Linked DNA regions of Drosophila melanogaster. The protein of the gene in region 3 interacts with the protein of the main gene of each other region in a biochemical or structural test. Each region holds a gene or a part of one and is shown on either strand. Other genes may lie near its edges.

Region 1 (7,825 bases), on a different chromosome or scaffold from region 3:
TTTAGATTTTATATTCCCTTTTCTACTTGATGTTCTCAAATTTTTTTTTTTCCTTATTCCCAATTTGTTAAAACCTCACTTTACAGCAATTTTAAAAAGTCCGCGCAACATAACAGCGATTAGGAACACTGTCACTGTAATAATCTTTGCAGTACTTTTTTTGCGGTAGTTGTGAATTTCGTATCCCGTGACTTTTGTTGAATAATCGATATCAACGAACAGTAATCGATATGTGCTCTAAACAAACAAACATGTAATTAAAATTAATTAAAATACGGACAGTTTGTTTACCCCAAAACAGATAGTTTAGTGATCCACCGAAATGAGTGTGTTCCCAAGATATCCAAACACCAGGCTAGACCTGTAGCATTAATAATATTGTGGTCTTATTGTGGACTTTTGCAATGCTTAGTGCGGATCGGGATTCGGTGGAGGAAGAATATGGATCGTGCTCGGCCTGGAAATTCCGTTGCAGCGTGGACAGGTGCCCCTACAGGACGAACAGACCCTACAATCTGGCGCGTCATGAGGAGTCCCACATTGGTATTACGCAGTCCAAGCTATACGGATGCCCCGTTTGCGTTTACAACACCGACAAGGCGTCGAACCTGAAGCGGCACGTGTCTATCAAACATCCTGGGTGCAAAAAGCGCCCTCCGGAAGCGCAGCACAAGGATCGCAATGCCAAGTTGCAGTGCCTGGTGATGGGATGCAGATACGAGACAAATCGTCCATACGACCTCAAGCGCCACTTGATGGTGCACAACAATCCGGAGAAGAGCCACAGGACGTTTAAGTGCTCCCTTTGCACCTACAGCTCCGACCGAAAGGCCAATCTCAAGCGGCACCACGAGCTACGCCATTCGGGCATAGAGGAGGCCATTCAAACTGCGGAGGAACTGCGCCAGGAGATGCTGCTGGAGAAGCAAATGCTGAAGGAACATAAGCTAAAATATCAGATCACAGAGAAACAGGATTTGAAGAATCTAAAGTTGAAGGACCAAAAGCAGAAGGTGCAAATGCTGAGGGATCAGCAACCGAAACAAAGGCAAAAGAAAGAACAGTTGCTGGAGGACCAGAGTCCTGTGCTGAATAAGCAGCTGGAGCACGGAAATATTCCTTTAAAAGAAGCCCTGGTAGGCAGTATGAAATACGACGAGGAAAGTTTGGAATTTGTTTACGAGGAACTGCAGGAGGAGGAGCAGCCGCCCATCATCACCATTAGCAACCCGCAGATTCTCCATGGAGACATCCGGGATAAGCACGTCATCGTAAGCATTGCAAAATGTAGTTGTTAAATTCGCTCTTCAATCATTAACAACATTTACAATGTTTGCAGGCTGTCAACGTTGATGGCCAGTTGCGATGGTTCCAGTCAATAGATCCACCGCCGGGAGCTCCAACAAAATTGGAGCTGCCCATAAAGAGCACTTCAATTTCTGTCCAGCAGCAAATGGACGAATTAGACGATGAGTTGGCCATGTCCCTTGCCGAAGAAGATCAGCAGGATGAGTTTCTTGTGCCAATGCTGAGCGGAGAGGAACCAGTTAAAATAAAACAATCATCGCTGACCGATCTGGCTTGGAGTTGGAGTACGCCGGATGTAAGAAAGAACTATAAACGAAAAAAACGAACTTTTCCTAACAATGTTTTTATCACTAAAGGCTGTACATCACATAAGTCCCAAAGCGGAACTCAAGAAGGACCTTAAAGCTGGCGATGCAGATACAGATTTTCCAGATTGGTGGGATGATGGCAAGTACACAAAGATGCAAAAGAACCAAACATTTGCAAAGCACTCAAAGAAGCCGTCGCAGGAGAATGTGCAACGCATCCTGCGCATCATCTATGACATTTACTACAAACCCTTCAAGGAAGATCGCAAGCAGTTCGAGGCATTTCAAATTAAGGACTCCTGGCTGTGCGCGACTCGAATGACTCGCATGCAGATAATCAAGGACATGTACTCTAAACAGGGCACGTTAAGTCAAACTTGATGATAAAAAATGTATCATCCCTTTGGTATTTGTATAAGAATACCATTAAGTTGTTTACTATTTAAAGTGTAAAGTAAACGAATTAAGAAAATCCCAAGTACTTTAAAACTAGTTAATTAACCTTTAATTTAAGCCCAAAAACAAGTATAGGAGTAGTTTAAAAAAGAAAGAATACTATAGTCGAGATCCCCGACTATCATATAACCGTTACTCAGCTAGTGTGAATGCGAACGCGAAATTTAATCCTCTGGGATATTAATAAATATTGTATAATGTGAAAAAATTTAAAAAAAATTCAAACGTGTGGGCGTGACCGGTTTGGCGGCTTTAGGGCGTTGGAATGGGCGTGGCAAAAAGTTTTTTGGCAAATCGATAGAAATTTAAGCGACTAATAAAATTATGAAAAATATCCAACAATTTTTTTTTTAAATATGGGCGTGTCAGTTTTGTGCGGTTTGTGGGCGTCGCAACATGGGTTCCGCTGCGTCTTTATCTCTAGAATATGTATGCTAAATCTCAACCTTCTAGCTTTTAAAGTTTCTGATATCTCGTCGTTCATACGGACAGACGGACATGACTAGATCGACTCGGCTATTGATTCTGATCAAGAATATATACTTATATATAAATATATACACTTTATATAGTCGGAAACGCTTTCTTCTGCATGTTACATACTTTTCAACGAATCTAGTATACCCTTTTACTCTACGAGTAACGAGTATATTTTAGGAATTGTGTTATTCAATAAATTGTGTGTTGAAAATGTCTACACTACGATCGATTATTGAAGAAAAAATAAATTCAATGAAAATTAAAAACAATTAGTCAATAATTATATATTATTTTAAATATGACTATTTATAGTACCGGATAATAATCATATTTAAAAAAGTGTATTTAATATTAACAGCTAAATACTGTAATGATTTTAAGCTAAATACAAATAAAATCAGCTAAATACTGAAATCACAAATTTATGTGCCTTGTGATTTTCGACGATCGATACTTGGGATCCGAAACGGATAACCATCGATATCAGCGATTTACTGGAGAAATCGATAGCTTGCACTGTGCATCCAGTTTTGCTCCAGCCCTATCGCAAACTAAAGTATATTTTAGCAGCGTTTGCGGAATTTTTTGCATTTCAGTTACTCCAAGTGTGAATAAGAGCACGGTCGCTGTTATAGTGTCTTGCAAAGCAGTGAATTAAAAAAGTTTAATAATCCAAATCGAGAATCCCAAATTTGTGTAGACGTAGCAACAACAGTAAAACGCGCTGGCCGGAAAAGACGCTGCTGGTGAGTTGGAATAGTGGTGCATAAATTAGGAATGTATATATGCTGATTCGTGGGGCATTACCCTTTGTTTATTTAATGACTTGCTTGCTGCACCCCGCTCCCCCTTCCTTAACCTTTTGTTTAACTTTTTGGCGCAATATTATTCACCTTGACCACGCACCGGTGTGCAAAAGATTCACCGCACACCGGTGCACTTAAATTCACCACAGCCTTAATAATTCTTACGGCATTTCCGTGCTCAATGGTGAATGGTCGCACTGAAACTATTCTTTGAAAATAACGGAGTAAACATTCAGTCTCAGATTCTGAGAACTTGTTGACAGTGTAGCTGTTCAATTGTTTTCATGGCGAGTTCTCGGAGTATTTTTTGTTAGGTGAGTTTTAGGTTATGTCTGATGTCAGAAAATTAACAAATAAATTTCGCCTAAGACAACGCACGATCATGGCATGGGTTCCCAATTCGCAGTTCGAGGATGATCTGGTCGACATGGAGCCGGATTTCAATTTTGTCCATGGTCAACTGGCCTACGACATGAAGAAGCAAGGGGAGTTTTGGCCGCGACCGAAATGCACATATGAATATCTGAAGTCCCGGGAAAAGAGGAATTCCGAGCTCGAAAATATCCATGGAAGCAGAGGCGGAACTGGTCGTGATATTCGGCAAAGCCTTCAGCTAATGGAGAACATACAGAAGATAGCAGGCACAAGGCCGCTGGGCGAGCACGCCACTATGAAAGATTGGGAGGATGAAAGCACAAATGAGCTAGAGGCGTTAGCCATGATGCGTCACTTCGGAATGATGTCCATGGCAACAGATTCGCTGCCCGTTCTGCCCGAAGTAAAACCACCAGAAGGACCCATTAAAATTATAAGAAACGGACGGAAACAATTTCCCCTCATCACAGACCCCGAATTTTTTAAACCACGCAAGATTCCCCGAACGAAGAATTCCAGTTCCAGTAGTTCGTATCATACTGCCAATAGTTCAATCAGTTCCTTCAGCCTTTATGAATCTGCCGCTTCAGATTTGGACAGCAGCAAGAAGCAGGGCGAGATCAAGGCGTCAAAGTCGGAGAAATACCTCGAAGTACCTTACAAACAGCTTGCGGAGAGTTACGACCAGGAAGTGGAATCACCAGTCCAATTTGGAAACCAATTCAATGAATGAAGGAGGAACCAACGGGGAATGCAATTATTAGAACCAAAAAATCAATCACTTTTTATATATAAGCTTCTGTAACATGTAAATAAACGGCTTAAACGTCGTTTAGAAAACCGAATTTATATTGGATGCAGTTCTACAAATAGAAAGAAAAATACTTGATATCATAGGGTAAACAAAATATTTATCTATTTTAATAAATTAAATGCGAAAGGAATGTTAGTGCTGTAGAATTCAATATATCCTTAAATGAATTTTTTTATATTAATTTATTGTTGCAAATGCATGTTTCCCAAACCATTTGGTAATTATTCAATTGTATCCCCTCCTAAATATGAAAAAATTGGAATATAGTCGGAAATATAATCGAGGTATTAAAATTTATGTTTATCGATTAAATCGATCGCGCTTATCAACGCACTATATTATAGCTAGAACATCGTATTTATAGAAAATAATTTTATGGCGTGTTTAATAACACACGCCAGACGTCTCTTTCAATAGCTACTTTGCGGCATATTGGGCACATATCGGCATGCTGCAAGTGGGTCCGGATGCACATCTCCCCAAAAAGGTGACCACATCTAAGCGAAACCAAGCGGTGATGATCCTTCGCTTCCCAAGGATCCAGGCATATGCAGCAAGTATTTTCGATGGCAATCTTCTCAAGCTGCTGTGTTAATTCGTCCTTGGACTCGAACAACAACTGCTCTTGCAATAATTTCTGATTGGTTATCTCTTCTTCCATTTGGTAATATAGCTTGAGTTCCTCCTCGCGCATTTTATCCTTCTCTTGAGTTGTAATATTTAGCTTCGCCAGTTGCTTGTCCTTTTGCTCACTTTTTTTCCTTTCCGCTAAGAGCTGCTCAACAACATCCTTCTTCAGCATCCTCATCAACGAGCGAGTCTGGGCTTTGTTATTGGGCATATTGTAAAGAAATTAAAATTACAAGGTGAACGAATTTTTTAGACAAGCACTTTTAGAACGAATGTCTTCTCAGTGAAGGTTTAAGCGTGGACTGCCTAGATTGAACAAAATTATTTTTTCTTGTAATCATTAGAATTAGTTGTGTGTTGCATTTTCCAACACAGCCAACATATTTACAGCTGTCAAAAAAAAAATCCATTTCAAAATAAAACTCGACTGTAATATTTGCGAATCGTTCACATCGAAAACGAGATGGATAAACAAGATATTACAAAGATGACCAAGAAAAAACTCATCGTTGAGGTCATTAAGCAGCGAAAACGGAACAAAGAAAAGGACGAAATCATCAAGGATAGTTTCGAGTCCAAAAAGCGTTTAATTGATCTGCGACTGCAACTGGACAAGGAGAAGAACATAACGAAGGAGTTGCGACTGAGGCTAGCGGCGCAGGACGCGATTGCGAATCAAGCGGAGAACCTGTCTATGAAACGAAAGAAGATCGCCGAAGAGAACAAGTGCTACATTTGCAAATGGAATTATGAGGTTACCGGAGACCATCGCCCAGTTTCAATTAAATGCGGTCACCTTTTTGGAGCGAATTGCATACTACATTACTTGCAGCGTAACAAGACATGCCCCATCTGCAAATCACAGATGATCCGCTGTATGGATGTTCGCATTATTATAGCAGGTCAAAATTTGTGCACGGCTGAATTATTACAGTAAACATTACATTTGCTGGGAAGTTGGACAAAATAAAAACCCAAGCAAAAGAAACAAGAGAAATTAATATTTTCTTGTATGTTTGTGATAATTAAACCACCACAATCATTTTCTCAATTTTTATTCAATTTCCCTTATTCAATCAATAGATGATTTGAACATTTGGCAAGCGTATATCGCAAGTGGAGTGAGACCCCCCGTAATTCCTTAATCAATAAACCACACTCCACTATATGCATACATAAATAATTTGTTATTGTTTTTGTGTGCGGGAACTATTATTATCAATTAAGCAATAATCTGTCGCAGAGTTTGCCAAATAACATTGAGAAAGTGGCTCACGTAATAAAGTAGAGGGAATTTGAAAAGTAGTGTAGTAGTAGTAGTAAAAGAATCAAGTTAAATAATAACGTTAATGTAGGTACATATGTATTGCTTAAAAATATAAATATTTTAGTGCATTTACTAATGTAGAGCAAGGTCCTTATCTGACTAATTGAATCAGGCTACAGTAACTTACTGGCTAAATTAGCAAACTTGTGCTGAGTTTTGGCGGTGCGAGTTGTCTGTCTCCTTTTTGTGGTGGCTGCTTCTCTCCCGTTTATTTTCGCGTGCATCTTCTCTTCCCGCCCGAGAAAAGTGTGAACTCACGAACACACGCAGCCAAAAGTTTTTAGTTCCGTGGCAACCACGTGCGTCTTTTGTTTCCTTTTTTCTTCTCTTGCGATTTTCCTTACTTCGCTCCCTTTTCTTCTATTCGCCGGGGTTGTCAAGCAGAAGTTTTGTTGTTATAAGTGGTGAAATGGATGCTGAAGTTGTTGTGTTTTATGCATAGGCCTGATGCTATTGTACGCAGTTGTACATCAATATCCAAACAAACCTACATACATACATACGTACATAAATAAATATGGATGTTGTCAGCGAAAAGTAGTCAAACCAAAGGATGGTGGTGAAAACTGTAGATGATGTGGGGGGGGGGGGTCTCTCTATATGTACATATGTATGGTTGTATGTTAACAAGTCTGGAGTCGCGGTCTTATTCGATGAGTGAAAGACGAAGCAAAATCAAAAATAAAGAAGCAATTCGACAAATGGCGCAAGCTATTAAAATAAATATGTACAATGTGCAAGCACTTTTTTTCGGGTGGACCCAAATTTTCACTTCGAAATATCCGTTAAAGTGTACCAAACTGAAATCTTTTTTTGTATTAATTGTTAGATTGCTGCATTTAAACCAAAAGCATTAAAAATATGAAAACATTTTTGGTTGGTTCTATTTGATTTCTCTTGACGCGCATTCTTATCAAAGCTTTAACTTTGTTTATACTTTAAGCGCATTCAAGTGTCTTTAATTTGTATACCTACCCCTAATCCAATTTCAATGTTTCAAATTTCGCTATATTAGGTAGTGATTCCCAATCAGCTTTGTTTACAAGGTCCACTCCAATTCCTACGCACTCGAGTTGTGGCGAGAGTTTTTTATGCGACATCAACTGAAGCTGGAGCTGCCGAAAGGTAAGCAGCGCACAGGGCAACTTAAAACGTTTACCAAAAAAAAATTCCTAATTTGTTGTTTAAAATATAAAATTATTAGGATTGGAAAAGGTTGATATCTTTTATTTGTGTATAATTTTTCAATTAAAAATAAAATCTCAAATTTACTGTACCGATACCACTGTGCAATGGTTGATGGAAGAGTGGAGTAAAGAAA
Region 2 (8,145 bases), on a different chromosome or scaffold from region 3:
CAGCACCAGAGGCGGTGGTCCATCCAGGTCCGGCATGGGCTCACACTCGGCATTGATGTCAAAGGCCATGGAAATCTCATTTACACACATATCGTCGGCATTATCCAGACCCTCGTCATGATCTTCATCCTGCACTACCTCGGCGGCCTTTTCATTTGCCGACTTGGGATTGGGAGCACTTGTGATGATGTAGCCCGTATGCAGCGGTCGCAGATTTGACCTTTCAGCATGTGGCAGCAGTTTGCGCATAAGATTGGTGCTCATAAGTGATGTGGCTGGCCATTGTTCCATTTCTGCATTGAGTGTAGTGTGGTCCTGGACCTCCTCGGTGGACTCTTCGCTGTTCCAAAAATTGTAGGTGGTACGCAAGCGCAATTCAGAGTCGAAACTAGGAAGAATGTTGTGCATCAGACGATTGGAAGCATTTATAGAGCCCACAGTGGAGTTCAGCTTGCCAAACACAGGATCCTGCAAGGGAGCCGTATCCAGCCGGCTGTTCAGCGTTTCTCTGTTTTTGGTCACGGTGGATATGGGTTTCTTTTGCCGTTTGGGCTTCGGTGCTGCTTCTTTTGCTGCCTGTTGCGCTGAGTCCTGACCCTCGCCAGTAGCCTGTTCACCTTGGGGGCCATCATCATCCTCGGCAGCATTTATTTGCTTATCCGTAAGAGTTCGTGCACTCAAGCCAGCTGAAATGCGCATGGCGTCCAAGTAGATGGAGTCCACACGCAGGCCGTAAACCTTGGAAGAGGCTTCTAAAGAGGAACCAGCCATCTAGGGTATAACATCATGAAATTATTACATTTACATAAACTGAATGAGGCAAAACCCACCTTGAAGTTGCTCATGCGCTTGTGATGGTGATCCAGCAAATTGGCCAACGAATCGATGAGCATCAGGTTCCAGGCGTTGTCCTTGCTCACCTTGTTGCCATTGTAGAGCTCCAAGCAATTTTTGATGGTCTCATTGTCCTCGATGGACTCCAGAGTGCTCGACCGGTGATGCTGCTGAAGGAGCGTGCGACGTCGGGCTTCCCGCCTTTCCGCCTCGTCGTCGTTAAAGGGGGTTAGCATGCGGGACACCCCCTCCTGGTAACTGCCTACTGCGGACCGCCTGAGCGGAGTTTCTAAGCGGGGCAGAGTCATCCTTTCAAGGAAGTGGATAAATCAGAGATGAAGTCAGAGAACAGCACAAGGAATTTTGGTTGCCGTAGGCTGATGGTTTTGGAGAGTGTTAATAAGCACACTCACTTTTAATAATAGCTGTGATCCCAATTCGACAGTTTTGAATTTTTTGTTTTTTGATGATTTGTTGATTGTATTTTGTCTATTTCTGTTTTTGCGCTGGTATTGGTAATAGTTTACAGTTTCTTTCAAACGACGCCGCAATTTAGGGCTGCATTTCAGTGTTGGTTAAAACTAAAGGTGTGCCAAGCTAGCTAGATAATATGGACAGGAAAATCGCTAAAGAATTAGCTATAAAGTATTGCGGAATATAATTAACTAGTATAAACATGATACATAATTTTATCATATGAGAAAAATGAAATAAACAAACTTAATTTACACCTTAAAGCTTCGAAATCGAATAAAAACACGATAGCTTACAATGGAATTTCTTTAAGTTCAGGGCTGCACAGGTCCTGCCAGTGCTGAATGGATTTCAACAATGGATGGCCGTTAAATTTCAAATACATGTACCATATTAAAGAAACTACGATCTGTAAAGGAATTAATCTGTTTCAATACTTTTAGTTTTTTATATAATTTTCAGTCCGGTAGTTAATTAGTATTTTTTCTTTTGACAATAAAGTCTTAACCTAAGCAATATTTAATTTGTAAAAACCCTTAATTTTTCCTTGGGACTCTTGCCAACACTGGCGCTGATAATCACCCCATCCCTGGAAGGCGGCAACTTTTACACACACTGCCGCAGAAATTGTAGTCCCTCGCGCAGTTCACATCGAACCAATGTCGTGATTTTTGTTAGTTTTCGTTGTTTTCGTCTGATAAACTCTAAATAACTATCAGCCAGCGCTGTGCGAAAAGCTCGATGTAATCGAATTGGGCAGAAGAAACGCTCAGAGATTCAAACCCATAGCTTCTATAGATCTATAGCTTTTCCGAAGATCGGACTCCTCGTGTATGTGTGCATTTCTGCCTGTGGTAGTGCTGGAGTAACTGGACATTTCGAATTTACGCAGTTCCAGGCAAACCTAACGGGTTTTCCAGTTCGACTTGCGGAATAGCAGGAATACGAGATTACGGGGCTACGGAGTTTCGGAGTTTTGGAATCACTATGGCACGCGACACACAAGGAACGCAGGGAACCCAGAGTCAGGCCTCCAATATCTGGACGCAGGTGGAGAGCCAGCCGATGGAGAAGATAGTCTGGGGTCGATTGTACGGCAAGAACATTAAGATCAAATCGCTGGGTACGAGTTCAAAATACCGAATCATTTATACGCATTCGTCCTTTTCTGTTGGTAACCACATTTCCTCCTGTTTTGTGTCCCCATTGCGTGTGCTCCTCATGTATTAATGACGATCCCATGCTGAACTGTTTGCAGATCTCAACAACGACGAGTTCACCGCAGGACGAGGGGAGGCCAACGACTTGATCCTCACGCTCAACGATTTGCCCGAGAAAATCCTGACGCGCATTTCCAAAGTGCATTTTATCATAAAGCGGGCAAACTGCGAACTTACCAATCCAGTTTATATTCAGGTAGGTGGAAGTTCCAAACCCAAAAGCTCTGAAGGAAGCCTTGAAAAAAAAGATAGCAAATTCAGAACCCACAAGAGCAGAATTCAAATTAAGTTTTATTTATGTTTTGTTGAGATTATCAAAAAAGGTAACTTCAATATTGAATATTTCCCACAATTAATTTACAAAAAGAAGTTACTATTCCGTATAATTCCGTATATTATTAAAATGTAGTAACCTTGTTTCCGCCCATTTCGCAGGATCTCTCACGCAACGGGACGTTTGTGAATAACGAGAAAATTGGCACAAACAGGATGCGAATCCTAAAGAATGACGACGTAATTTCCCTGTCCCACCCAACGTACAAAGGTAAGCGATCGACAAGCAGGTATAGCTATCGACAAGGACTCGCAAGTAATTTGATGTTTTGCACCTGCCCTCCCTTGTAGCCTTTGTATTCAAGGATCTCAGCCCGAATGAGTCGATCGGGCTTCCCGAGGAGATTAACAAGACGTATTATGTAAATCGCAAGCTGGGATCTGGAGCGTACGGACTGGTGCGTTTGGTCTATGACACCCGCACCTGCCAGCAGTTTGCGATGAAAATCGTTAAGAAGAATATGCTCTCTGGGGCGCGACCCAGTACCAATTTCAGTGATCCCGACCGGGTGCTGAACGAAGCCAAGATTATGAAGAATCTTTCACATCCGTGCGTGGTTCGCATGCACGACATCGTGGACAAGCCGGATTCTGTGTATATGGTGCTGGAGTTTATGCGCGGCGGCGACCTGCTTAACCGGATCATCAGCAACAAACTACTTAGCGAGGACATCTCGAAGCTTTACTTTTACCAAATGTGCCATGCCGTCAAGTACCTACACGATCGGGGTAAAACAAATTAGTTTTATTTGGGTTCGAATGTGTTGCTGATTAAGCAAGCCGTTCATTTCTGTTATGCAAATAAGTAAGTCTTCGGAATGGTCATTGAAAACGCCCTTAATTGCAAATCATTCCTGCGCCTTTACGAATTTGCTAGTACGACTACTGCGAACACATCAATCGAATTATTCAACTAACTAGTTTCTACCTTTCAGGCATCACCCATCGTGACCTTAAGCCTGACAATGTTTTGCTGGAGACCAATGACGAGGAGACCCTACTGAAGGTCTCCGATTTCGGGCTGAGTAAGTTTGTGCAGAAGGACTCGGTTATGCGCACGCTCTGTGGCACACCTCTCTACGTGGCCCCTGAGGTGCTGATTACCGGCGGCCGAGAAGCCTACACCAAGAAAGTGGACATTTGGAGCTTGGGAGTGGTGCTATTTACTTGGTAAGTCATTATGTTATTCTCCTACGAAGATAACTTAGCAATATACTCATATCTTGCAGCCTGAGTGGCACTCTGCCCTTTTCGGACGAGTACGGCACCCCGGCGGCCCAGCAAATAAAGAAGGGCAGATTCGCGTATGGACACCCTTCTTGGAAGAGTGTCTCGCAGCGCGCCAAGCTGCTGATCAACCAAATGCTCATTGTGGATCCCGAGAGGCGACCCTCAATCGACGACGTTTTGCAGAGCAGCTGGCTGCGCGATGCGCCCATGCTGCAGAAGGCGAAGAGGCTGATGAAGCTCGATGGCATGGAAATCGAGGAGGAGAACTTCCTTGAGCCACCCACCAAGCGATCGCGACGCTAGGTTTCGTTTCTGTGTTTCCATCGTTAATACGTGAGGGTCGAGGCGCGAAAAGGTTTTAATTTTCTGGAAAAATTAAGCGACAACATTTTTCCCAAAACGCCGACACCGCCGCATCCGAGTGTATTGGCGAATTTAAGTATTTTTTGCGGTTGTTAATTTTTACGTGTTGTCTAGTGTAAGTTTCATCGCCCAAGCCCGGTTTATCCTGTTAAACTGCATTTAAACTGGGCTGCTGCTTCACAATTTTTTTAAGATTCCTATCGATTTGAATTCTGCCATTTCATTGGACTATTATTACGATTTATTACTTGTAACTGTTCAGTAACTATAAGTGTTAAATGTAAGAATGACTCTTCAGCAAACCATTCCGCTTTTTGAAATAAAGCAATTGAATTTGTTCGGCAGCAAAATTATTTGATAGCGTGCGTCACCATTTTGCGGCCATGTCCAATGGTGATGAGGGTGCTATCATCGGTCCAAACGGCATCAGTTAGGCGAGAATGGGTGTCCTGGTGCGTGTAGATGAACTCATGGCCCGCCTGCACATTGGCCACTTTCACGGAGGCGGGCAAATTGCTCATCGCAGCCAGATGGGGCCTGAAAATATGTGCGTTAATGCAAATCGTCATTGTTTCGCTTAAACTTGTACCCATTGATTAATAACTGGGCGACATGGCCCTTGTCGAAGTATTCCCTGGTTTCCGCCAGTTTTCGTGGCACTCGAATGTCCAGAGTATGAACTTTGCCGTCATAGTCCCCGAGATAGATGTGATTGTCACCCTGCAGCTCCGAGGCAGCTGCCCAGGCGGCACTGGTGAAGCTCAGCACGTGGCTGGCATCCGCATAGAGGCACGTGGAAGATGGAGCCGCTGCCCGGACATCCCAAAGGCGGGCACAGCCGCCACGATCACAGGTCACAAATTTATCGACTGAAGCTGCGGGTGTGGCCAGGCCAGTCAACTTGTCGGTATGCGAGGAGCGCGATCTGTAGGTGCTCACCATATCGGCGCCCGAGAGATCCCAGACCTGCAAAAGGGTAACATTTGTATATTTTCCATACATCCACATCACCTTTATACATACATTGAGGGTACTGTCCGCTGAGCCCGAAACGGCAGTGCGGGGATCCGCCTTGAAGACGCTCAGTTGGCTGATGGGTGTGGGATGCGCACTGGACTCGCCCACGAGGAAGAGGCAGTATGGCGACTGAGAATCTCGCACCTTGGAGTATGTGGACCAGGCCTGGAGTCGGGTATCCCCAAGGGCCACCAGTAGGAAATCATCCTCAGCGTAGCGCACAATGTTCACCGTGTGCTCCGCCTGCAGCTTGAAGTTCGCCGAGTCCACGCTCATATGGTGCATCTGGTCGCGTCCGTAGCCGAACAACATGCCCCACCATTGGCGTCCTTCGCGTCGGTTTGTGGCCAGGGCCAGGTGGTTGTGATCATTGATAGCGATGCTGTCCCAGCAGTCGTGCAGTCGCGGCGAAAGGTTTTCCAATCGCGCGTTTAGGTCCGCAATGTTGAGGTTCGGGTACTCCAGATTCCCGGCCAGCTCCAGTGCCGGCGGAGGCTGGTGGGTCACCGGAGTGCGGTACAGCTCCGAGCTGCGTTGCGGGAACATCGTCTCTCACTCAAGATTCCGTAAAACAACAGAGAATCGGCCAGCAAGGAAGAGCAACGAGCCCGGCAAGACCAAATACATCGATTTGTGTACCAATCGAAATATCGATATTATTAGACATTAATATTAGAGATAATCGCGCGAGCTGGATACTCTGGAGTTTTTTTTTTTTTTTTTTTTGATTGGTTTATTCAAAATGAGTTCGTTTATTCCGATTAATATCAGTATTATGAACTCGGAAAAATGTATACTGACCTATTTTAATAATTTTTAATTGCACTTCTTCACGAGTTGAGATGAAAGTGTCGATTAATAGAAAGACTTTGAAAATACGTTTTGCAAGTTTTTTTTAGCATTTCTATTTACAGCTTTCATTTTCAAATTGAGCAATCTTGGTGCGCATCATCACTAGGAGGACATCCAAAATTATGATAGTTAGTCATTTATAGATTGGTCAAAGGATTGGTTAAAGGTTCAGAACACGTTCAGAATTCCTTACTCATTTTTGATAAAATTGTGAAGGATAATTTTCAAGAACAACACTTTAAAATGCCATAAAGAATATATTTATTTATATAACAATAAGACTTCCGATACAGGAGTTCCGAAATCGCCAGGCGGTAATTAAAAAAAGAGAATGGCGCACTTTACAACTGCAAAGTTTCTACATTACGTTTACATTTCACATTGCTTAACGGTATAGTTGTGAGCAACGGTATTTTTTAGGGGATTTCCCGCCACTATGGACATTTACCGTTCGCTTGCAAGCGGTCACACAGTTGTTATTTTTGTTTATTATTATCGCGTCGCTCGTTGCGCGCTGGTTTATTTTTTGAAAAGTGCGTTCCTAGCGCGAGTGGTCAGCGTCCCAAACGTCGTAGATTCCATCGCCTGAGCCATCAAGAACTAAATATTTCCTTACATAACTGCGGAATACTTCGACTCTGCAGTAAGCCACGCGACGGAAGGCAATCAACAAAGACACGCAAGTGCTTGCACACTGGGCTATTATGCAAATTGCGCCACTGCAGCTGGTCTAAGATTGCAAGGAAGGGCGACAGAGCAACACACACACACACAAAGTGCCTGGGCAGAACGAGCGGAACCGCCTCCCCAATCAGCTGTGATCTCTGCGGTCGGGCCTCCATCGAGTGGGCGGAGAATGGGCGGGATGGGGGGCGGCGGGCTGCTGGACATCTACGCCATGGCCTGGGAGCACCTAAGACCCGGAAGCTCGCCCGTCGACTGGTGCGAAGGCAACTACTTGATTTCGTCCAACATCGCCGAGTTCGTGAACACGGTGCGTATGTGCGATTTATTTAACGTTGTATGTAATTTGTGCGCTCTGCTTTCGCTGCCCCACTTAGTTGTCCCCGCAGTGGTCGTAGTTGCTCTTCTCACCCCTTCGCAGACAGCTGCTAGTTTTCCCTTTGAATAGGCCTTGACCTTTTTAGAGCGAGACCGACTGGCAACGTAAACAAAAGATGCTGTTTGCCACGCTTTGTTTGCGTTGGTGTGACGATGGGCTGGGGGTGGGGGTCATTTTCGCACCCGGAAAATGCGACACCCGGAAAATTCAGTTTTCTTATCGCCCTGAGCTTCACACCTGTCCGATCGATATAAAACTTGGTATTGCGGACAGGGCAAAGCATAATGAACACTTTGTCCTCGGACTGGAAACTTGTGTCTCTTCAGACTTGGCCGCTACACGGACTTCAAACTAAGTCCTGCAAGGGCTAGCTTCTCTCATTTGGTTGTTATCATCTCTTTCATATATAATATGATTTATATAACTACTTTGAACCCGGCTGTCCGATGTTATTAGATTTGAAATATGTAGATTATACGCTCGCGATTTCATTTAGTTAGTCAGCCGTTTGCATTTGTCATTATAGTAAAACAGCCTAAACAAATAGCTGTGCTGGTGGTAATGAATGGCATCCGCATTAATATAAACGTTCTTACAATCGTAACTCGTAACTCAATATGTGACGGGCTCACTTTCATTAGGCCTTATCAAGGTTAATCGTCTGAAGCTAACCATTGATAGAAACGCTGTTTACGAAAACAACGCACTAAAAGTGGATCAAAACAACATTTTTTCTGATATTCTAATTAACAATATAAG
Region 3 (7,832 bases):
CTCCAGCTGCCTCTGCTGGATTGCAGCTATCAGATCTGCATACCGCGGACCAGCAGCAGTCGAAAGTCGACGGCCGATGGAGGCATCGCAGGTGGTGCGGTGGAATCGCCACCAGCCATGGCTGCTTGCCCGGCAGCCAAAGTGCTGGCCTCCGTTAATGAAATCGAACTCTTCCGCTCCCTGGACTTTGTCATGGAGCAACTGTACACGCTGTGGGAGCTGGTCATCACCGCCGAGCCCATTGTTGTCGTTGGCACCTCACCCGCCGACTGCTCCCACATGGTGCAGACCCTTCTGGCCATGATTGCTCCGCTGGAGTATTGCGCCGAGGCGCGTCCCTACTTCACCATTCACGACAGCGAATTTCGCGAATTCACACAAGAGTGCAGCAGCAAGACCACACTGCCCGCCTGCATTTTGGGCGTCACGAATCCGTTCTTTGTGAAGCTCCTGAAGGATTGGCCGCACATGCTGCGACTGGTGGACAACCAGGTGAGTGTCCCAATCCCAGTTAACGCAATACAAAATATATCCGTCTTGCTCGTTTTCAGAAGAACATGCAGCAGCAACAGCATCTGCTGCTGGGCCAAAAACACGCAAGGAACATCGCATCGGCCACATCATTTTCCAGTTCAACGGAACTCGGTGGCCGTATAGCACTGAAATCGAACACCAATCTCAATGGCAGCTCCAGTTCCAGCAATGGCTCGGGCGATGCCTCGTCCGCGGGCCTGCACAGTAAATATAGGCCGTACCTGAAAAAGGACAAGGCGCTGATCAAAAAGGTGCTGCTGGGCATGAAGACCAAGCGGCCGGAGCATGTGCAAACCGCACTGATACGACGCCATCTGCTCGAGCTGACGCAAAGCTTTATGATACCACTGGAACGGTATATGGCATCACTGATGCCGCTGCAAAAGGACATCAGTCCGTTTAAGTCGGCGCCGAATGCCAACAGCTTTAAGCTGGATGACTTTCTGGGCACGCTGGAAACCGCTGGGCCGCAGCTAACGTCGCCGCTGAAGGGCGACTGGAAGGGCCTGTACAGACGCTTCTTTCGATCGCCCAATTTTCGCGGCTGGTACGGTGCACGTCATCGGGAGCTGCAGCTAACGCTGCAGGATCTACAGCTGCAGGCGCTATCCGTGGCGAATCTCGAGCACTGGGCGCACGACAAGCAGGAGGTGGAGATCATCGATATGATACTCAAGCTCAAGCAAAAACTGAATCTCTATGGCGACAAAGCCACGCAGCTGGAGGGCAACAATGGCTCAACTCAGCAGCAGATACGCGCCCAGATTGAGTGCATGAAGGGCTTGCTGCCGCCGGATCTCAAGAATGTGGTGAATCTTTGATGGTAGTAGCTCAATCCTCGTCCTCCTCCTTCTCTTCTGCCACTTATCACTTTGGCTGCTCCACATCTGTCTGCTAGTATCCTGTGATTGTGTGATTGTGCCTGGCGGTGCTCTTTATCAGTGTAAATAGATTTTAATCGGCGATTAGTCGCCGTATTTGTGTCTAGTTTAATTCTAAAGTGAATCCAAGCGAAGCGATGAATGTTGTTAGTTCAAACTACAAGTCAAGTATTAAATGTAATCGATGTGTCCCTTCCATATTTTCACATCCATGCGAAAACAATGCTCATGTCTCAAAATGTCGAAAACCATGCCAATAATATCTATGTGGCTGCAGCTTGAAACCACTAACCACAACATTGCAGTCCCTTCCTCTCCAGCTTTTTACTGATTGTGAATGGGAGTTGTGAAGCCAGTTGGTTATACCTTCAGTTTGTTTCTTTTAAAACCGTTGTGCAACTTTGTGTGTATATCGCTTAAATTGTTTATGTCAAATATAAGTTAACTATAATACATTAGCCAACAGCTGCAGCCTTTCCTTATGCCAACGTACATATTCCGTGGATTGCAATGGGAGTTCCAAAGTGTTTATTTTTTTTTTTATATAAATACAAAACAAAAATGACAACTTAAGCGCTAGAATGGTTGATGGATAAAGGATGGATTGATGGATGCAATCGTTCGTTCGATTGTTGCTCCTTGGAATGCGCGATCAGATGAGAAAGACTATATCGTCGGCGACCATGATCTGATTGTCCTCGGTCATGCGATGCACGGCGGCCTCGATTTCGCCAGCGGTGAACGGCTCCTGGCTGCCAACGTTGATGGCCGTGGTGATCCTGGCCAGCGCCAAGCTCTGTTCGCGTGCCTCGCGAAACAGTCGCTGCAAATTGTTCTTGAACTCGCCCAGGCGGGCATCGCTAATGATGGCCGGCTCCGTGGTCGATGTGGCCACCGACTGCTCCTCACTGGAGGGGCTGGCCATCAGCATGGCGACCGAGCGAGCGGGCAGAGAACGACGCGTTTCGCGACGCGTCAAATCGCCAGCATCCGGCTGTGGTGGCTCAATATCCTCCTCATCGCTATCGGCACCGACGGTCGCTGTGCGTGTGCGTTTGGAGCGTCGCGATGGTGAGCGCTGGCTAGATGCCTCACCGTTGTCATCCTCCGCATCGGAGCCGCTGTTGCGACGACGCTTGCTGGGGCGATCCTTATCCAGCACCTTCTTAAAGTAGGCAAACTGTACCAGTTCGATGGCCGCATGGGCATCGTCGATGGTCACCGATTTGGACATGCGTGCCCGGGCATGGGCCGTGGACAAACGGATGAGGGTCTCCAGGGTACGGGCCGTTATTGGCTGCGTGCGTGCCACATCCGTTTCGACCGCCTCCTGGGAGCGCAGGCGCGAATACTCATTGGCAATCGCCTCGCAGGCCTGCTCGCCCAATTTGGGCTTCATACACTTGGCAATGTGTATGTACTTGCGCATGAACTCCACGGATAGGATCTTCTCGTGACGCTGACGCGACTTGCCATGCAGCAGGGCATCGTACTTTTCGTACACCTCGGTGTCCTTCTTCTGTAAAATACAATTTCAAGACCATGTCAATCGATTATACACAATCATAATCGTGCCTTTCGACGAAAACCCACCTCCTCGCTGCTGGAAACAAAGGACAAGGAGTCCGCATAGGAGCTGCCCATGGACAAGGGCTCGCCGTCGGCCTCCTTGGGATTGCGATAGCGATGCATGCGCACCACATGGTCCGAAATCATTTGATCCACATCGCTGTCAATCACGTCCAGCATAACGAAGAGCAAATCGAAACGCGAAAGCAGCGAATCCTGCAGTCCAATATTTTCCATCGGCGTCTTATATTGATCATACTGGAATTGAAGACGAAATTAGCAAGAAAAGCGATGAACAGACGGATTCGGATGGACTCTTACCCTTCCGTACACCGGATTAGCGGCTGCCAAAACGGAGCAGCGAGCATTGAGCGAGGCATGGATGCCCGCTTTGGAAATGGTAACACGACCCTGTTCCATCACCTCGTGAATGGCTGTGCGATCGATGTCGCTCATCTTGTCAAACTCATCAATGCAGACGACACCGCGATCGGCCAGGACCATGGCGCCCGCCTCCAATCGCCGCTCACCGGTCTCCTGATCCGTGGTAACCGCCGCCGTCAGACCGACGCCGCTGGATCCGCGACCCGTTGTCGGTATGGCCCTTGGTGCCGTATTCAAGACGTAGCGCAGTAGCTGCGACTTGGCCACCGAAGGATCGCCGATAAGCAAGACATTAATATCGCCACGCAGGCGTGTGCCATTCGGCAGGATCTTCTCAACGCCGCCGAGCAGCAGGCAAAGAATGGCCTGCTTCACATAGGCATGTCCATGAATCGAGGGCGCCAAACTCTTGCTGAGCAGCTCGAAGATGTCGTTATTCTTCGCTAGCTTCTTGCACAGCATGATGTCTTCGCGCGATATGTCCAAATTGCTCTCCTTGCTGAGCAGCGATATATTGTTGGCCAGCAGCACGGTGCGGAACGTGCCCGAGGTGTAGCCACCGCGTTTGCCCGGCAAACAGCGATAGCTGCCCACAATCTGTACACGATCGCCGGGCTTGCAGCGATCCACGAGATCGTCGTCGCACACAATATCCACCGAACGCGGCAATTGGCCAGCCGGCGCCTTCTCGGGCATCTCTTGAATGGTCAGCGTCTGGTGATCCTTGTAAACGGACAAACCGTATTCGGTCTCCAGCAGATTGCCATCCTCGTCCTTTGTGGGATAGGCAGCGCCAGATGGCACAGCCTCGAACGATGTGAGATCGGTGTATTTGCGCTCCATTACCTTACGCGTATTGGGGCAATAGTGAACGCTGCGCACCACCTTGGGACGAATCAGCGATACCTTGGTAACAATGCCCTCCACGCACACCATGTTGCCCAGATAGATGGAGGTGAGGGAGCGCGGCGTCACATGCCGATTGCCAAAGCAGCCCTCGAAGCCGACAAACAGATCCTCATGCATTTTGGCATAGCCCGGATCAACCGTGGACGCATACTCCTTGAGCGCCCTGCCAAAGGCCAGCTGCTCATCCGCCGCGTTGCTCAGTAGCCCCAATGCACGTTGCGGATTCTTGCGTTTTAGATCGTTGACATTCACGATCAGGCGCTTGCTCTTCTCCGCGATCATATCCTTGACGTGGCCCGCATAGATGCCCTGATCCTCCTCGTCGTCCAGAAAGTCCACATACTCGCGTTGTATGTCCTTGATGAACTGCTCCCCCTCGTGGGCCATTCTGTGACTTAAGCTGTACACTGGAGTTCACAAAACTTCTTTCGATTTCGCTTATGGATCAACTTCGATCCGTTCGGAGGCAAACGCAAATGCAAACAAAACTAATGTCGCAAATTGCACGCCGAATGCAAAGTTTTTTCGCGGGAAAAGCGTAGTGTGACCATACTGTGGGCATTTGAAGACTGGTTGCGCGGGCAAAATATATATGCTATAATTATTTCCTTTTTTTATATATTTACATATAATTATTAACTTTATTATATAAAACATAGTGGACATAGCAAACTAACTAATATAAGCAAATATACGTTGATATGCAAATTTATAATTAAAACGTTTCCACCGAACATCTGACTTAATTTGTAATGCATACAATATAGAAAACTATCAAATAATTCCTATAATAGTAGTATATATTTATTATCTGCCTAATTAATATCTACATTTAATCCATTGCTATAATAGTAAAATATATTTATTATTTGCTAAATTACTGTCCACACTTAATACATTCCTATAATATATACAATATATGTATTATGTGCCTAATTACTGTTTAAACTTAATCCATTCTTATAATAGTATTATATATTTATTATTTGCTTAATTATTATATAATATATAATATTATTACACTTAAACCATTCTTATAATAGTATAATATTTGTATTTATTATTTGCCTAATTATTATTATATTATTATTACTATATCCTATAATATATACAATATATGTATTATATGACTTATTACTGTTTACACCTAATCAATTCCTATTATAGTATTATAGTATATAGTAATATATTTATTATTTGCTTAATTACTGTCCACACTTAATCCATTCATATAATGGTATAATATTTTTATTATTTGCCTGAGTACTGTCTACACTTAATCCATTTATGATGTGGCTGCGTATTAAATAGTTTATTATTATTAAATAGTTTGTGTAAAAGAAACAGAAATTGTTTACATTTTATGATACATATATATATAGCACTTAAGTAAAATAAATTCCATTTTTATTTATTTCTATAAAATATATATATGTTTAAAATAAATTATATTTCTTGGTAGGATTTAGTTTATCATTTGACTTTGCTATACATTTCTGACCGCCCAAAGAAACCAGTTAATATTGACCACATATTACCGAAATTAGTCTTCAAATTGCTCATCACGAGTCTTCACTGCACTGCTGGTAACACAGCCATTGTCTGGACTGCCGCAACTATCGAGTGCGCACAGCTATCGATATTACGCACTGGTCACACTGTTATAACGAAAAAAAAATTCGCATATTATTCACACTTTACCGGTGTTTCTTGACAGAAAATGATAAGTTTTCGTTAACCGAATTCTCAGAAAGTAAGTGCTTGGAAAGTTTTTCCAAGAAAAAGTGCCCAATAGGGAAACCAAACCTGAAACCAAATAATTTTCCACGATAAGCGCAACAACGCGATATTAGATTGGCCAGCCCTGCGTTTGCGGTTTTTTTTTTGTTTTTTTATTTCCTGTATTTTTTTTGGGGGGGAAAAATTGCAGTTCCACGGAAAGCGAAAAGTTTTCCACCAAAATAAACGGTTGAAGCATGGACGCCGACAAGCAGGTGAGTGTCAGATTATAGCTCCAATAGGCGCCGCCCTTATGCGTATGCCCAATATATTGCAGCTGGAAAGGCAGCTGGAGAAGGAGCTGGACGAGATGCCGGCAGAGGATTTGGACGACGATGCGTATGACGAGTATGATCTGATCGTGATACCCGATCAGGGCAAGGGCTCGCCGCAGCAGGGGCACAGTGAGTCGCCGCAGCAGGAGGAGGAGCACAAGTCGGAGGAGCTGCGCCAACGATCGCGCCCAACCTGGCCACCGTCGTCCGCCGGCGGGGATATGACCACCATTGAGTTGATCTCATCGGACGACGAGCCGTCAGTGGAGGAGACTGAGGGAGGCAATGCCGCTGGCCGTGGCAGAGCGCGCAATGATTCCAGCAGCAGTAGCGATGATGTGGGCGTGATCGAAGGCTCGGAATTGGAATCGAACAGTGAGGTGTCCAGTGACAGTGACAGTGATAGCGACAACGCTGGCGGCGGAAATCAGCTAGAGCGCTCGTATCAGGAGCTGAATGCGTTGCCCAGCAAAAAGTTTGCCCAAATGGTCTCGCTCATTGGAATCGCATTGTGAGTTTGCCTGCTTCTCCCACTCCCATTTTCCATTTTTTCAATATCGGCATTAGCTAATGTTGATGCTCGTTAATGCAGCAAACTGAATGATCTGGAAAAGATCGAGTCATCGGTGCTGGAGCTGCAAAATTTGGCCACTGTGCCGGCTCACGTGTGGCTGAAGTATCTAAAGGCCCGCCTGGTCGTCACCCAAACGGACGAGGAGCGCAAGGCATTCGAGGAGCAGTGTGCCAAAGCGTTGGGCTACTACTACAGTATGCGATAGATAGAATCCATTCGTAGTTAAACCAATTGACGAGTTACATATTGCAGGCATACCGCTGTCCGAATACGTTGTCAACTACCTGGTGGATCAGGGCAACGTACAGAACCATGTGCTGTGGGCCAAACTGCTGGCGGACTACGACGTGGAGCGTCCAGACTTTGGCGACAAGCTGCGTTCGCTGATATCGACAATTACGGACGAAAATGAGGCTGCCGCCTTTGTGGAAATGCTGCAAAAGCACTGCGTCACCTGGACGTGCAACGTGGAGCAGCGGCAGATGATCAAGTCCGTTGTGGACAAGTTTAAGCAACATCTGGACGAGACAACGCGTGGTTGGGATTGGTCTGAGCAACACAAGGCTCATGTCTACGATGTGGAGACATTATCCCTTGACGATGACCTCAAAAACGCTGTGATCCGTTTCATATTCGAACGCTCGGTGGCCAAGTTTCCCATTGTCGATGTGCTCTGGTTATCCTACATTGAGTTCATTCAGTTCGAAGGCGTCACTGTGCCGGAGAATGAGGATGAGAATGAGGTAACCGCCGAAATGGTAGCCAAACGGGCCAAACGCTTGGGCAAAGGTTTTCTGCGCAACACGGAACTCGATTTGGCCAATCGTGGTGTGCGCAGTCATCCCAGTGTACAATTGAATCATCGTTTCCTCGACCTAATGGAGCGCTCGGACTTTGAGTTGGCGGAAGTGGATGAAGAGATACGTC

What was found.
Region 1: of the proteins of Mcm3 (region 3) and grp, one has a biochemical effect on the other in vitro, tested with the Drosophila melanogaster proteins (one study listed by BioGRID).
Region 2: of the proteins of Mcm3 (region 3) and lok, one has a biochemical effect on the other in vitro, tested with the Drosophila melanogaster proteins (one study listed by BioGRID).

The regions. Positions count from the first base shown.
Region 1 is NT_033779.5:16,676,979-16,684,803, forward strand, and holds the start of grp (grapes), read left to right. Parts: upstream 1-3,075; 5' UTR 3,076-3,298; intron 3,299-3,471; exon of another isoform or gene 3,472-3,672; intron 3,673-3,727; exon of another isoform or gene 3,728-3,740; coding exon of another isoform or gene 3,741-4,466; exon of another isoform or gene 4,467-4,675; intron 4,676-4,840; exon of another isoform or gene 4,841-4,920; coding exon of another isoform or gene 4,921-5,388; exon of another isoform or gene 5,389-5,424; intron 5,425-5,524; exon of another isoform or gene 5,525-5,640; coding exon of another isoform or gene 5,641-6,114; exon of another isoform or gene 6,115-6,312; intron 6,313-6,631; exon of another isoform or gene 6,632-7,030; intron 7,031-7,519; 5' UTR 7,520-7,629; intron 7,630-7,825. Other genes in the region: her (hermaphrodite), read left to right, coding at 405-1,271, 1,340-1,603, 1,665-1,997; squ (squash), read left to right, coding at 3,741-4,466; CG31807 (uncharacterized protein), read right to left, coding at 4,921-5,388; CG33552 (uncharacterized protein), read left to right, coding at 5,641-6,114. UniProt on the Drosophila melanogaster protein: Serine/threonine-protein kinase which is required for checkpoint-mediated cell cycle arrest and activation of DNA repair in response to the presence of DNA damage or unreplicated DNA.
Region 2 is NT_033779.5:20,059,582-20,067,726, forward strand, and holds lok (loki), read left to right. Parts: upstream 1-1,840; 5' UTR 1,841-2,139; exon of another isoform or gene 2,140-2,200; 5' UTR 2,201-2,295; coding exon 2,296-2,482; intron 2,483-2,566; coding exon 2,567-2,724; intron 2,725-2,963; coding exon 2,964-3,072; intron 3,073-3,152; coding exon 3,153-3,590; coding exon of another isoform or gene 3,591-3,604; exon of another isoform or gene 3,605-3,737; intron 3,738-3,796; coding exon 3,797-4,031; intron 4,032-4,090; coding exon 4,091-4,394; 3' UTR 4,395-4,800; downstream 4,801-8,145. Other genes in the region: barr (barren), read right to left, coding at 1-771, 831-1,142; vls (valois), read right to left, coding at 4,805-4,991, 5,044-5,420, 5,478-6,017; bwa (brain washing), read left to right, coding at 7,180-7,317. UniProt on the Drosophila melanogaster protein: May have a role in germline establishment.
Region 3 is NC_004354.4:5,320,829-5,328,660, reverse strand, and holds Mcm3 (minichromosome maintenance 3), read right to left. Parts: upstream 4,807-7,832; 5' UTR 4,665-4,806; coding exon 3,306-4,664; intron 3,243-3,305; coding exon 3,009-3,242; intron 2,935-3,008; coding exon 2,068-2,934; 3' UTR 1,923-2,067; downstream 1-1,922. Other genes in the region: CG3309 (uncharacterized protein), read left to right, coding at 1-492, 552-1,355; Rnp4F (RNA-binding protein 4F), read left to right, coding at 6,254-6,271, 6,334-6,842, 6,924-7,099, 7,158-7,832. UniProt on the Drosophila melanogaster protein: Acts as a component of the Mcm2-7 complex (Mcm complex) (Mcm complex) which is the putative replicative helicase essential for 'once per cell cycle' DNA replication initiation and elongation in eukaryotic cells.